3 linked regions of the Oryctolagus cuniculus genome follow. The protein of the gene in region 2 interacts with the protein of the main gene of each other region in a biochemical or structural test. Links are inferred from orthologs where the notes say so. Each region holds a gene or a part of one and is shown on either strand. Other genes may lie near its edges.

The links.
Region 1: of the proteins of MAPK1 (region 2) and TPR, one has a biochemical effect on the other in vitro, tested with the Homo sapiens proteins (2 studies listed by BioGRID). The link is inferred for Oryctolagus cuniculus from reciprocal best matches to the Homo sapiens genes MAPK1 and TPR.
Region 3: of the proteins of MAPK1 (region 2) and MAP3K1, one has a biochemical effect on the other in vitro, tested with the Homo sapiens proteins (3 studies listed by BioGRID). The link is inferred for Oryctolagus cuniculus from reciprocal best matches to the Homo sapiens genes MAPK1 and MAP3K1.

The regions. Positions count from the first base shown.
Region 1 is NC_091444.1:3,534,401-3,538,049, reverse strand, and holds part of TPR (nucleoprotein TPR), read left to right. Parts: intron 1-1,434; coding exon 1,435-1,569; intron 1,570-3,023; coding exon 3,024-3,164; intron 3,165-3,649.
Region 2 is NC_091452.1:29,050,633-29,054,281, reverse strand, and holds part of MAPK1 (mitogen-activated protein kinase 1), read right to left. Parts: intron 2,094-3,649; coding exon 1,977-2,093; intron 1-1,976. UniProt on the Homo sapiens protein: Serine/threonine kinase which acts as an essential component of the MAP kinase signal transduction pathway. MAPK1/ERK2 and MAPK3/ERK1 are the 2 MAPKs which play an important role in the MAPK/ERK cascade.
Region 3 is NC_091445.1:77,547,389-77,551,037, reverse strand, and holds part of MAP3K1 (mitogen-activated protein kinase kinase kinase 1), read right to left. Parts: intron 3,189-3,649; coding exon 2,910-3,188; intron 1-2,909. UniProt on the Homo sapiens protein: Component of a protein kinase signal transduction cascade. Activates the ERK and JNK kinase pathways by phosphorylation of MAP2K1 and MAP2K4. May phosphorylate the MAPK8/JNK1 kinase.

The sequences.
Region 1 (3,649 bases), on a different chromosome or scaffold from region 2:
CAAATAAATAAATAAATTTCATGGGAAAATGGAATTGAAATATAAGCTTAAATTTGAACACAATTTTAAAAAAACAATTGAAGAGGGAAAAAATAATAAGATTTCTTTACAAGGCTTCCATTTCAGAATTAAACTGAAACCATTGGGCTGTAATATCAACTGGTACTTATCCATTTTTGCCCATGTCCAATAAGAGAATATTCACATTAGCTTAAATTAGATTTCTGAATTTTAATTTGAATGTAAATGTCTATCTGAAATTAACAATGCTTTGAATTAAATACTAAATTCAGTGATGATAAACTTTTTATATAGTGTTTTACTTTTTTAAAAAGTTCCCCTCTCATTTTTTTTTACTGCTTTTGAGCTCAGTGTGATTGTTCCACATTTAATGTGTGAGAAATCGACTTAAATTAATAAGTAATCTGCCCATTTTCAATCACTCAAAAGAGATGAATAGGTTGGTTCTTGAACCCAAGTTTTGTTTTGTTTTGTTTTGTTTTGTTTTGTTTTTTTACCAAACAGAGGTAGACAGTGAGAGAGAGAGTTACAGACAGTGAGAGAGAAACAGAGAGAAAGGTCTTCCTTCCATTGGTTCACTCCCCGCAAATGGCCACCACAGCCGGCACTGTGCCGATCACGAAGCCAGGAGCCAGGTGCTTCCTCCTGGTCTCCCATGGGGTGCAGGGCCCAAGCACTTGGGCCATCCTCCACTGCACTCCCAGGCCACAGCAGAGAGCTGGACTGGAAGAGGAGCAACCGGGACAGAATCCAGCACACCGACCGGGACTAGAACCTGGGGTGCCGACGCCATAGGTGGAGGATTAGCCTAGTGAGCCGCGGTGCTAGATTTGAACCCGAGTTTTCTAACTCTACCTGCTCTGTTTTACCATTAGATCTTGTTCCCACTCATCATAAGCCATAAATATCAAGCATGAGTGTTCTGGTTAGTAATTGATGTGATACATCAACTGTAAATTTGAATCCTTTGTTGAATTACACCCTCCATTGGGAAGTTGAAGGAGGGAGGCACTTTAAAAAAATCAGTCACCATTTTTAGTCAGGTACTTAGAAACCAATTTGGACACAAACTTGAATTGTTTAATAGTGTGCATGTGTGGCTGTAGGTGTGGCTGTAGCATAGGTTTGCAATTTTGGTTTTTTACTGTCATTGTAGTGGGGTTTTTGTTTTGTTTTGTTTTTTGCTGTTCTTGTTAACGTGGAACATGAGTAATTGTGGTGGTTGAAATAATTTTCCTTCATATTTCAGCACACAAAACTAACAGCTATATTTACTTACAACAAAGAAATAGTCTCCAAGTAGCATTAAGGAAAAATGTAGTAATAATGGTATCATTTTAATTTGTAACTATATTACTAAACTTGGCACCATGTCATCCAGCATTCTTTTCTTTCACTTGTATATGCCTCAAGGTAAGAGCAGAAAATTTGAAGAAGGAAAAGGAAATGCTTAAATTATCAGAAGTTCGTCTTTCCCAGCAAAGAGAGTCTCTGTTAGCTGAACAAAGAGGGCAAAACCTGCTGCTAACTAATCTGCAGACAATTCAGGTAACCAAATAAAAATCGTGTGGGGGAAAAAATTGATAAAAGTTGAATTTGGGTAGTTTGTTCCTTTTGTTTTCTCAGTTTTTTTACTTTGAAAAGTGTTTTTGTCACTTTTATCATCCATTATGATCAGTGAGTTTGGGAGCTTTTTAAGACATTTTAATGGTTTTTTTAAAAAACCTGTTAAGTGGGGCCGGCAAGTGGGGCCGGCACTGTGGTGTAGCAGATAAAGCTGCCACCTGCATTACCGACATCCCATATGGGCGTTCACTCGAGTCTTGGCTGCTCCACTTCCATCCAGCTCTCTGCTATGGCCTGGGAAAGCAGCAGAAGATGCCCAAGTCCTTGGACCCTGCACCCACATGGGAGACCCAGAAGCAGCTCCTGGCTCCTCTCCCTCTCCCCCTCCCTGCCTCCTTCTCCTTCTCCTTCTCTCTCTGTGTAACTCTGACTTTCAAATAAATCTTTTTACAAAAAAAAAAAAAACCTGTAAGTGAATGGATTGAGAGACCAGCCCTGTGGTCTAGAGGGTAGAGCTACTACCTGTGACGTTGGTATCCCATGTTAGCACTGGTCCACTTTCCACCCAGCTCCCTGTTAATGGCCTGAGAAAAGCAATGTAAGATAGTCCAAATGCTAGGGTTCCTGTCACAAATGTGGGAGACCTAGAAAAAGTTCCTGGCTCCAGGCTTTGGCCTGGTCCTGGCCCTGACCATTGCAGCCTTCTGGAGAATGAACCAGTGGAATGAAGATGTCTCTATGTTTGACTTTAAAATAAATAACTGTTAAAAAAAGAGAGAGAGAGAGAATGGATTGAAATCATGGAATTGGCAAGTTTGATATTCAGATCTATAATTACAAGATCCTATGCAGCTTAACTTTTTCCAGATTAATATTTTGGGTTTTGTTTTTCATTAAAACTTGAAAATCTGAATGAGTATTAAAACTTGTTTTTTTTCCCTGTTATATAAATATTTTCTTGATTAATACTTTATACTGTTCATGTAGAAAAATGGATTATGGGCCAGTGCCATGGCTTACTTGGTTAATCCTCCGCCTGTGGCACCAGCATCCCATAGGGGCGCCGGGTTCTAGTCCCGGTTCCTCCTCTTCCAGTCCAGCTCTCTGCTATGGCCTGGGAGGACAGTGGAGGATGGCCCAAGGTTTGGGCCCTGCACTTACATGGGAGACCAGAAAGAAGCAGCTGGCTGCTCCTGACTTCGGATCAGCACAGCGCTGGCCGTAGTAGCCATTTGGGGGTTGAACCAACAGAAGGAAGACCTTTCTCTCTGTCTCTCTCTCTCACTGTCTAACACTATCTGTCAAATAAATTAAAAAAAAAAAAAAGGAAAGAAAAATGGATTATTATCCCCTAAATCCCTACAGCTTATAATTATCTTTGTATTGCTTCTTTTACTTTGTTGGTAAACTTAACTAAACTCTCTCTTTTACCGTAGGGAATACTAGAGCGATCTGAAACAGAAACCAAACAAAGACTTAGTAACCAGATTGAAAAACTCGAACATGAGATCTCTCATCTAAAGAAGAAGTTAGAAAATGAGGTGGAACAAAGGCATACACTCACTAGGAATCTAGATGTGAGTCCATAACCATCGTGAGTTTCTGTAGCTTCTTCATGTTTCATAATAAACCTGGAGTGTGGACATATATGCAAGTTGAAGCATGGTTTTGAAAAAAATTACTTAAAAACTCTGTTACCCTTTATTCTTTGTTTGCAGCTAAATTTTGTTTGGGTGCCATATATTGTGAGTTTTGCCCCGTTAGGTGCTGGGTAATTTTGTATTCCTTTGAATCTGCTTAAGCTGTGTTCTAGGATTTTAATAAAGTTAATTAGACATAGTTTGAGTCCTACTTTTGGTGATGTATTAGGCAGGCCCAGAGCAGTGCTTAGCCTAGGACGTGTTTCCCACTGCTGAGGCAAGACCTTCATGAGGACTGGGCCCAGTGTCCAGTGGATTGTGATTTCTTCCAGGCGGGCTGCTGAAACAGAAGTTATTCTGAGTGCCAGCACCCTTCACTCTAGTCACTCTGGGTGATTCTTTCCCCTGCCTGGAGTCATTTT
Region 2 (3,649 bases):
GCCTGTATGGGATGCCAGTGTTGCAGGTGGAAGCTTAACCTGCTGCACCACAATGCTGGCCCCTCTTAAAATCCAAAATAATCTTTGTTTTTGGCCAAAGTTAAATAAAGGGAAATTTAAAACCAACATGGACACGCACCCACACAGCACCAAGCAGAGGTGTGTTCTGATGCACTTCACAGAGAAGGAACAAAGCATCACTGCTGTGGTACTTACACAACATGCGTGGTTCTACAAACCAGCTTACCTGTGTTCTGCAAAAATGTCGCTGAGTGAATGCTGATCGTCTTAGGTGGGCTAAGGGTTCCCTGGCTTTAGGGAAGTACACCCCCTTTCTAGAAGTATCAGTGTTTCCCAAGGGGGCACGAGTGAAGTGACGGACCAGGCTGGTGCAGAGTGAAGACGGTCAGACCAAGAGGAGAGCGCGGAGAAGACGAGAGGAGAGAAAGGTGGGGAGCAAGGGGAAGGAAGGGTATGATGCCAACGGCAGGGGAATGAAGGTGAGGGGTACAGGGGCAGTCACTGTACTCTCAGTTTTTCTATGGGCTTTAAAGATTTTTAAGTTAAAAAAAAAGAATAAAGTTGAACACGTCACTAGAAAGATGATCCTAGGCTAGAGGTGTTACAAGTAAATGAATCTCCACAAAGGTTCCCACACAGTAAGCCCATAGGTAGAAGGGGCGAGAGCCTCTGGAACATGCAGAGAGCCCACCCTGTCTGGCTGTGTCCCCCTGGGGGGCAACTGGGGCACCTCAAGATGGAATGGCGACACGAGACCAAGTAGCCACCAGATGAAAGACACACGGGCACCCCTTGCTAGGAACGACTGTCCACGGCTGGCTGGAGATGCAACCTGCTGTGTGGGATTATTTTAACACAGTTATGAGAGTCAACACAGCACTTTCTTCTCTGAAACATCTGTTACACCAAATCCTTCTTTCTAGTGGAATTGATCTTAATGAGCTTACTTTTGGAACTAAAATGAACAAATGTAGGTTATCAGGGATAACTGCTTTAAATAATCCCATTTCCTAACTACAGTAATCTAACGGCTTCTCCTTACTTGCGGAGGACGGAGGAAGAGCATGGAGCCTGTGAGCTTAGGAGCCCTGCTCTTCCATTTCCACCCAGCCTCCCGACTTCACTCCTGGCTCCTGGGCCCCAGACTTACGGTGCAATGTCTGTTCACATGACTCCTCCCACACTACTTTCCAGCAGATGGGGCTGTGCTTAGGAATCTCAGAGTCCTGCGATACCAGACAAACGTAACCATGCCAGGCCCACCTAGCTACCTAATTTTGGCTCACACGCTCTCTGCAAACGAGGCATGAAAAGCCACCGTATTCACGGCAGCCTTCAACTTTTGCCTGCTTGCTCATAACCTAACACACCCGTCACCCTTTCGCCTTCTGGTGCTTCTGCAGAGGTATTCAATCATTTCTGAGGAGACACACAGATCTTAGCAGAGCTCAGATGCGACAGGATGCGCTCTCCACAGCCACGTGGAGGCACAGGGGAAGGCCCTTTCCTGGCAAACACAAGTACCATGTAACTTTGAAGGAATCACAAGAGCTGTAGGTCTTCTTCAGGGAGAAGAGACATTCCTCATTATAAAGGTACAGCTGATTTAGACAGCACAGCCCTGGTTCGGTGCTGAGATGACCAGGAAGCCTCTGGTACATGCCCAGGCAGTGGTGTTGGTAGGTGCAGCTTCCACAGGCAGGACTGACCAAATGGCAGGACACAGACCACTTACAGTCACAGCGACCGGGAGGCTCAACCTGACGCGAGGACAGGTCAGCACCACCCCAGCCACGGTGCAGTGGCTGAACCAGGGCCCAGAAGTTCTAACGCAGTACGATGAGATAAAACAGTGCCTTGGCTCCAAGCCTCCACGCAAGTAGAAACAGGTTGGAGAGGGAGGCCTCCTACAACCCACATGCAAGGTTTTCTTTTTATGCAAACTTGGTCCTTACCTTGGAATTCAGCATAATTTCTGGAGCCCTGTACCAACGCGTGGCTACATACTCTGTCAGGAACCCTGTGTGATCATGGTCCGGATCCGCAACGCGGGCCAGGCCGAAGTCACAGATCTGAGAGGGAAAACAAAACAAAACACAGGACATGTCTTAAAGATTCTAAACAGCCTGACATCAGAACATCATAAAAATAAAAACAGAAAACAGCAATGATACAAAAAGTAGTTTCTTCTATCACCACGCAGCAGACACTTGGTGACAAGTCTACAAATTCACAATTATTTAATCCTCCCAACAATCAGGATGGCAGTGATGATGCTCCACGCGTCAGGGACCAGGAAACAGGCTGGCTGAATCAATAGGGCACAGTGTAAGGGGCTCTCCTAGCTTTCACTGTCTGCTTAGCACACCACAGTCTTGCTTGGGTGAATTGAGAAAAATGGTTCTGGCTAAAGTTACGAAGCTACTTGGGGCCCTTTTTTGGCCCTGTTCTGCAGGGGCTCCTGGAATCATCACTGCCAGGACCCCCACTTGCCTTCTATTTCTCAAATTCCCGTTGGCCCATCAGTAGTTATTGCAAAGTTGCTTTCCACTTCCTTCCCCTTCTATGTAGTCAAATCTACTCCCAAAGGCGCAGCTCTGGCCATTGTGGCCAACTGGGGGAGTGAACCAGTGGATGTAAGACCTCCCTCTCTCTCTCTGTCTCTGCCTCTCCTTCTCTGTGTAATTCTTTCAAGTAAATAAATAAATATTAAAAAAACAAACAAACAAACAAACCCACAACTCTTTTCAAGACTGTCAAAAGACAGCTTGTCTCATTTTCCTTTTTTCTTTTTCTAACTGCTGCACCAAAGGTCAACCAAGTCTAACTCATACTACTCAGTCGAGTGCCCAGGCTACAAAACGTTGAGAGCAGTGACAGGGAGTGCTCCACACAACACAGAATGTGAGGGCAGTGATGGCGTGAGCTCCATGCCATGGAAGGGAAACTTGGTTAATCCTCCGCCTGTGGCGCCGGATTCTGTCCCAGTTGCTCCTCTTCCAGTCCAGTCTCTGCTGTGGCCCAGGAAGGCAGTGAAGGATGGCTCAAGTGCTTGGGCCCTGCACCTGCATGGGAGACCAGGAGAAGCACCTGGTTCCTGGCTTTGGATCGGCCGCAGCACGCCGGCTGTAGCAGCCATTTGGGGGGTGAATCAACGGAAGGAAGACCTTTCTCTCTGTCCCTCTCTCTCTTTTATTTATTTTATTTATTTCTTTATTTTTTTGACAGGCAGAGTGGATAGTGAGAGAGAGACAGAGAGAAAGGTCTTTCTTTGCCATTGGTTCACCCTCTAATGGCCACCACGGCTGGCGCGCTGCGGCCGGCGCACCACGCTGATCCAATGGCAGGAGCCAGGTGCTTCTCCTGGTCTCCCATGCAGGTGCAGGGTCCAAGGACTTGGGCCATCCTCCACTGCACTCCTGGGCCACAGCAGAGAGTTGGCCTGGAAGAGGGGCAACCGGGACAGAATCCGGCGCCCCGATCAGGATTAGAACTCGGTGTGCCGGCGCCGCTAGGCGGAAGATTAGCCTAGTGAGCCGCAGCGACGGCCTCTCTGTCCCTCTCTAACTCTGCCTGTCAAAAAAAAAAAAAAAAAAAAAAAAAAAAAGAGGATCTAGAAGAAGAAACA
Region 3 (3,649 bases), on a different chromosome or scaffold from region 2:
GCTTTGGATCAGCTCAGCTCTGGCAGTTGCAGGCACCTGGGAAGTGAGTCAGCAGACAGACAATCAGTCTCTCCCTCTCTCTAACTCTACCTCTCAAAAAATTAAATACAATCTTTAAAAAAAAAATCTGAATAGATACATGAATGGGGAAGAGACAGCTCTTCTTTACAGAAGAATTCCAATTAATTAATGTGGAAAGAATGAGGACGACAGAAAAATCAACGTTAGAAGACCAGCTCTAATAGTGTAGTAATAATTGCTCCAGGTCAGATTTGCTGACAAACGGTAACATCAATGGGCAAAATTTCAACTCTTATTTATACAGTTTCAAAGTATCTCTCAAGATACTTATTTATTTTTATTTTTAAAGATTTATTATTTAAAGTCAGATTACAGAAAGCGAGAGAAAAAAAGTGAGAGATCTTCCATTGCTGCTGCAACTGTGAACCCCAAATGGTAGCAACAGCTGGGGCTGAGCCAAGCCAAAGCCTGGAGGCCAGGGGCTCTCAGGGTCTCCCAAGTGGGTAGCAGGAGCCCCAAATACTTGGGCCATCTTCCACTGCTTTTCTTGGGCCATTAGCAGGGAGCTGGGTCAGAAATTGAGCAGCTGGGACTCAAACCAGCACCCATATGGGATGCTGGCATTGCAGACGGTAGCTTAACACACCATGCCACAGTGCCAGCCCGATATTTATTAACAGTAAATTCATAGTGGAGAAAGCAGACATCACTCAAACTGAGAGCATCAGCCACTGTTACAGTGTACTGAGGAGGGAAGGGTACAGCACCCCTGTGGTAATCTTGTGAAAAGTGCACAATAACCACAGGTATGCATCAGAAACACGCACATGGATGGGCACTCTACAAAACAACTGGCTGGTAAGGCTCAGGAGTCAAGGTCATGTAAGGGAAGGCTGAGGAATCATCACAGAGGATCAACAGATTAAGAGGAAAGGATGACTGAGTACGATGCGGCATCCTGGACTGGATCCTGGGACAGAAAAAACTGTTAGTGGGAAAACTGACACGTGAATAAAGTCTGCAGTTTAGCTATAAAGTATACTGCTGGCACAGCTGGGAAGATTGAAATAGGAACCTGACAGTATGCAGTAATACTGTTATTAAGGAGAACATGCTGGTTGCAACTGGTTACACAGAACAATGTATGTATTCTTTTTTTTTTGACAGCTAGAGTTAGACAGTGAGAGAGAAAGACAGAGAGAAAGGTCTTCCTTCCATTGGCTCACCCCTAAATGACCGTCACGGCTGGAGCTACGCCGATCCGAAGCCAGGAGCCAGGTGCCTCCTCCTGGTCTCCCATGCGGGTGCAGGACCCTAGCATCTGGGCCATCCTCCACTGCCTTCCCAGGCCACAGCAGAGAGCTGGCCTGGAAGAGGAGCAACCAGGACTAGAACCTGGTGCCCACATGGGATGCCAGCACTGCAGGCGGAGGATTAACCAAGTGAGCCACGGCGCCAGCCCCACAATATAAATATTCTTAAGAGGCACATGCTAAGTGATTGGAGGACAAAATGTCATGATGCCTAGAAATAACTCCACAATGGTTCAGCAAAAAACTAGGGATGGGGAGGGAAGAGGGAAGAATAAAGACAGGGAAAGAGGGAGGTGTGTGGTGGAAGAAAAGAGAAGAAAAGCTTTGAAGGTAGGACCACTTCTGTCTCTGCTGAGCCTGGCACACTACATAACTGCCAACGGACGAGAACGTGGCATCCTTTCTATGGTGCCCATCTCAAGCGGCTTCCAGGCCAGCTGACAGTCTGAACTGCAGGATAACCAGATGGCATCTGCAGGGAGAGCAATATGGTGAGAGGACAGGGTCGCCACTGGCTGGGAAGATGAGGGACAGCTCACAGAAGATGGACCCTCGAAAGGAGAAACATACCAGGCAGTCAAGTGTGCCTAAAAGTTTGTGTTAGAAAACCGGTAGGAAGTTAAGAGGCAAAAAGCTGGGTGAAGAGCACTGTTCTATGGCACACATTGTCCCTCCGCATGTTTCATGGAAAAACAGGACAGGGTCATGACAGTTAGTGTCATGGCACTCTCTTCTGTGAAATGGCTCCTGTGTTTCCACACAAAAATGCTTACTAAAAATCATGCAAAATGCTTCTTAAAAAGAAATTCTCCTTAATATCAACAGATACCAAATTAAAAGCAAAGTAGGGCCGGCGCTGCGGCTCACTAGGCTAATCCTCCGCCTAGCGGCGCCTGCACACCGGGTTCTAGTCCCGGTCGGGGCGCCGGATTCTGTCCCGGTTGCCCCTCTTCCAGGCCAGCCCTCTGCTGTGGCCAGGGAGTGCAGTGGAGGATGGCCCAGGTGCTTGGGCCCTGCACCCCATGGGAGACCAGGAAAAGCACCTGGCTCCTGGCTCCTGCCATCGGATCAGCGCGGTGCGCCGGCCGCATCGCGCCAGCCGCGGCGGCCATTGGAGGGTGAACCAACGGCAAAGGAAGACCTTTCTCTCTGTCTCTCTCTCTCACTGTCCACTCTGCCTGTCAAAAAAAAATAAATAAATAAAAAAAATAAAAAAAAAAAAGCAAAGTAACTTGGATCCCTTTACTATCCCTTAAGTTATTATCACTTTAGTCACATGTCAAGTACCTGCTCAGGAACACGGTAAGGTATGAACAGCAGGACACTGCTGCTTGATGGGGACAGCTAACTGCACGTAAGGAAACCTGACCAGATTAAAATCAGTACAATGGAAAATTAAATGAGAGGTCGGTTACATGGAAAACTGTCATTTCCTGGGATTTTGGAAGAAAAATACACTTCAGATTTTCCAGAGTTAAGTCACATAAAGTAGCTCTATTGTATCTGGAAAACAGTATCTGAAACAATCAGCAAAGGAACCCCGCAATGAGATGGTTAGGGAATAAAGCTACTTACTAAAGCAGCAACGTACACTTTGTAGACAGGGTCGGCGCAGACCACCGACAAGACGTTGCAGCACGCCTCCACCACGTCCCCAGAGACGCTGGCCTGTGGAGACCCACTGGCGGCTCCCACGCTCGGACTGCTGCCACCGCTGCCCCCGGAATTTCCAGTGCTCTCCCCATTTGCCAACAGCAGGGCCCCACTAACATCATGGGAAAGACGCCTGAGGGCCATCTCTCTGACATTCCAGTTTCTAGAAAATAAGCAGCCAACGAGTTCCATTCCAAACACCTGTATCAAACACAGTGAATTCAACGGGAAGAAAAACAGGTGAACCCACAGCACTGTAAGCAAGCTTTTCAATTTCTACAGAAAAACTGGACATTTCTGACATCTTTACACAACTGCAAAATATGTGCAGCCATTTAAGATAGTGATGAGGAATTTTACACTCAAGTTTAACTGGTGATTCTCAAACCATTACCACTCATTAGTGTAAGAAAAATTAAGAGTAAACTCCATTAAGAATGAGACGGATAAGTATACATGCCTAGGTCTGTACCCTTCAGGCTTACCCACACCATCCTCCAAACAAAACACTGTGAAGAAACCCTTCCAGAGAAAAAGCCTGGAACAGGATTTACAGAAGCCACACTGGGACACACAGTAGAGTGGTTCAAGAGCAGACGCTAGTGGTAAACTAAAAGCATTTATTTGGTTTTTGTCTTAGACCAAAAAATGGCTTTAAAAAA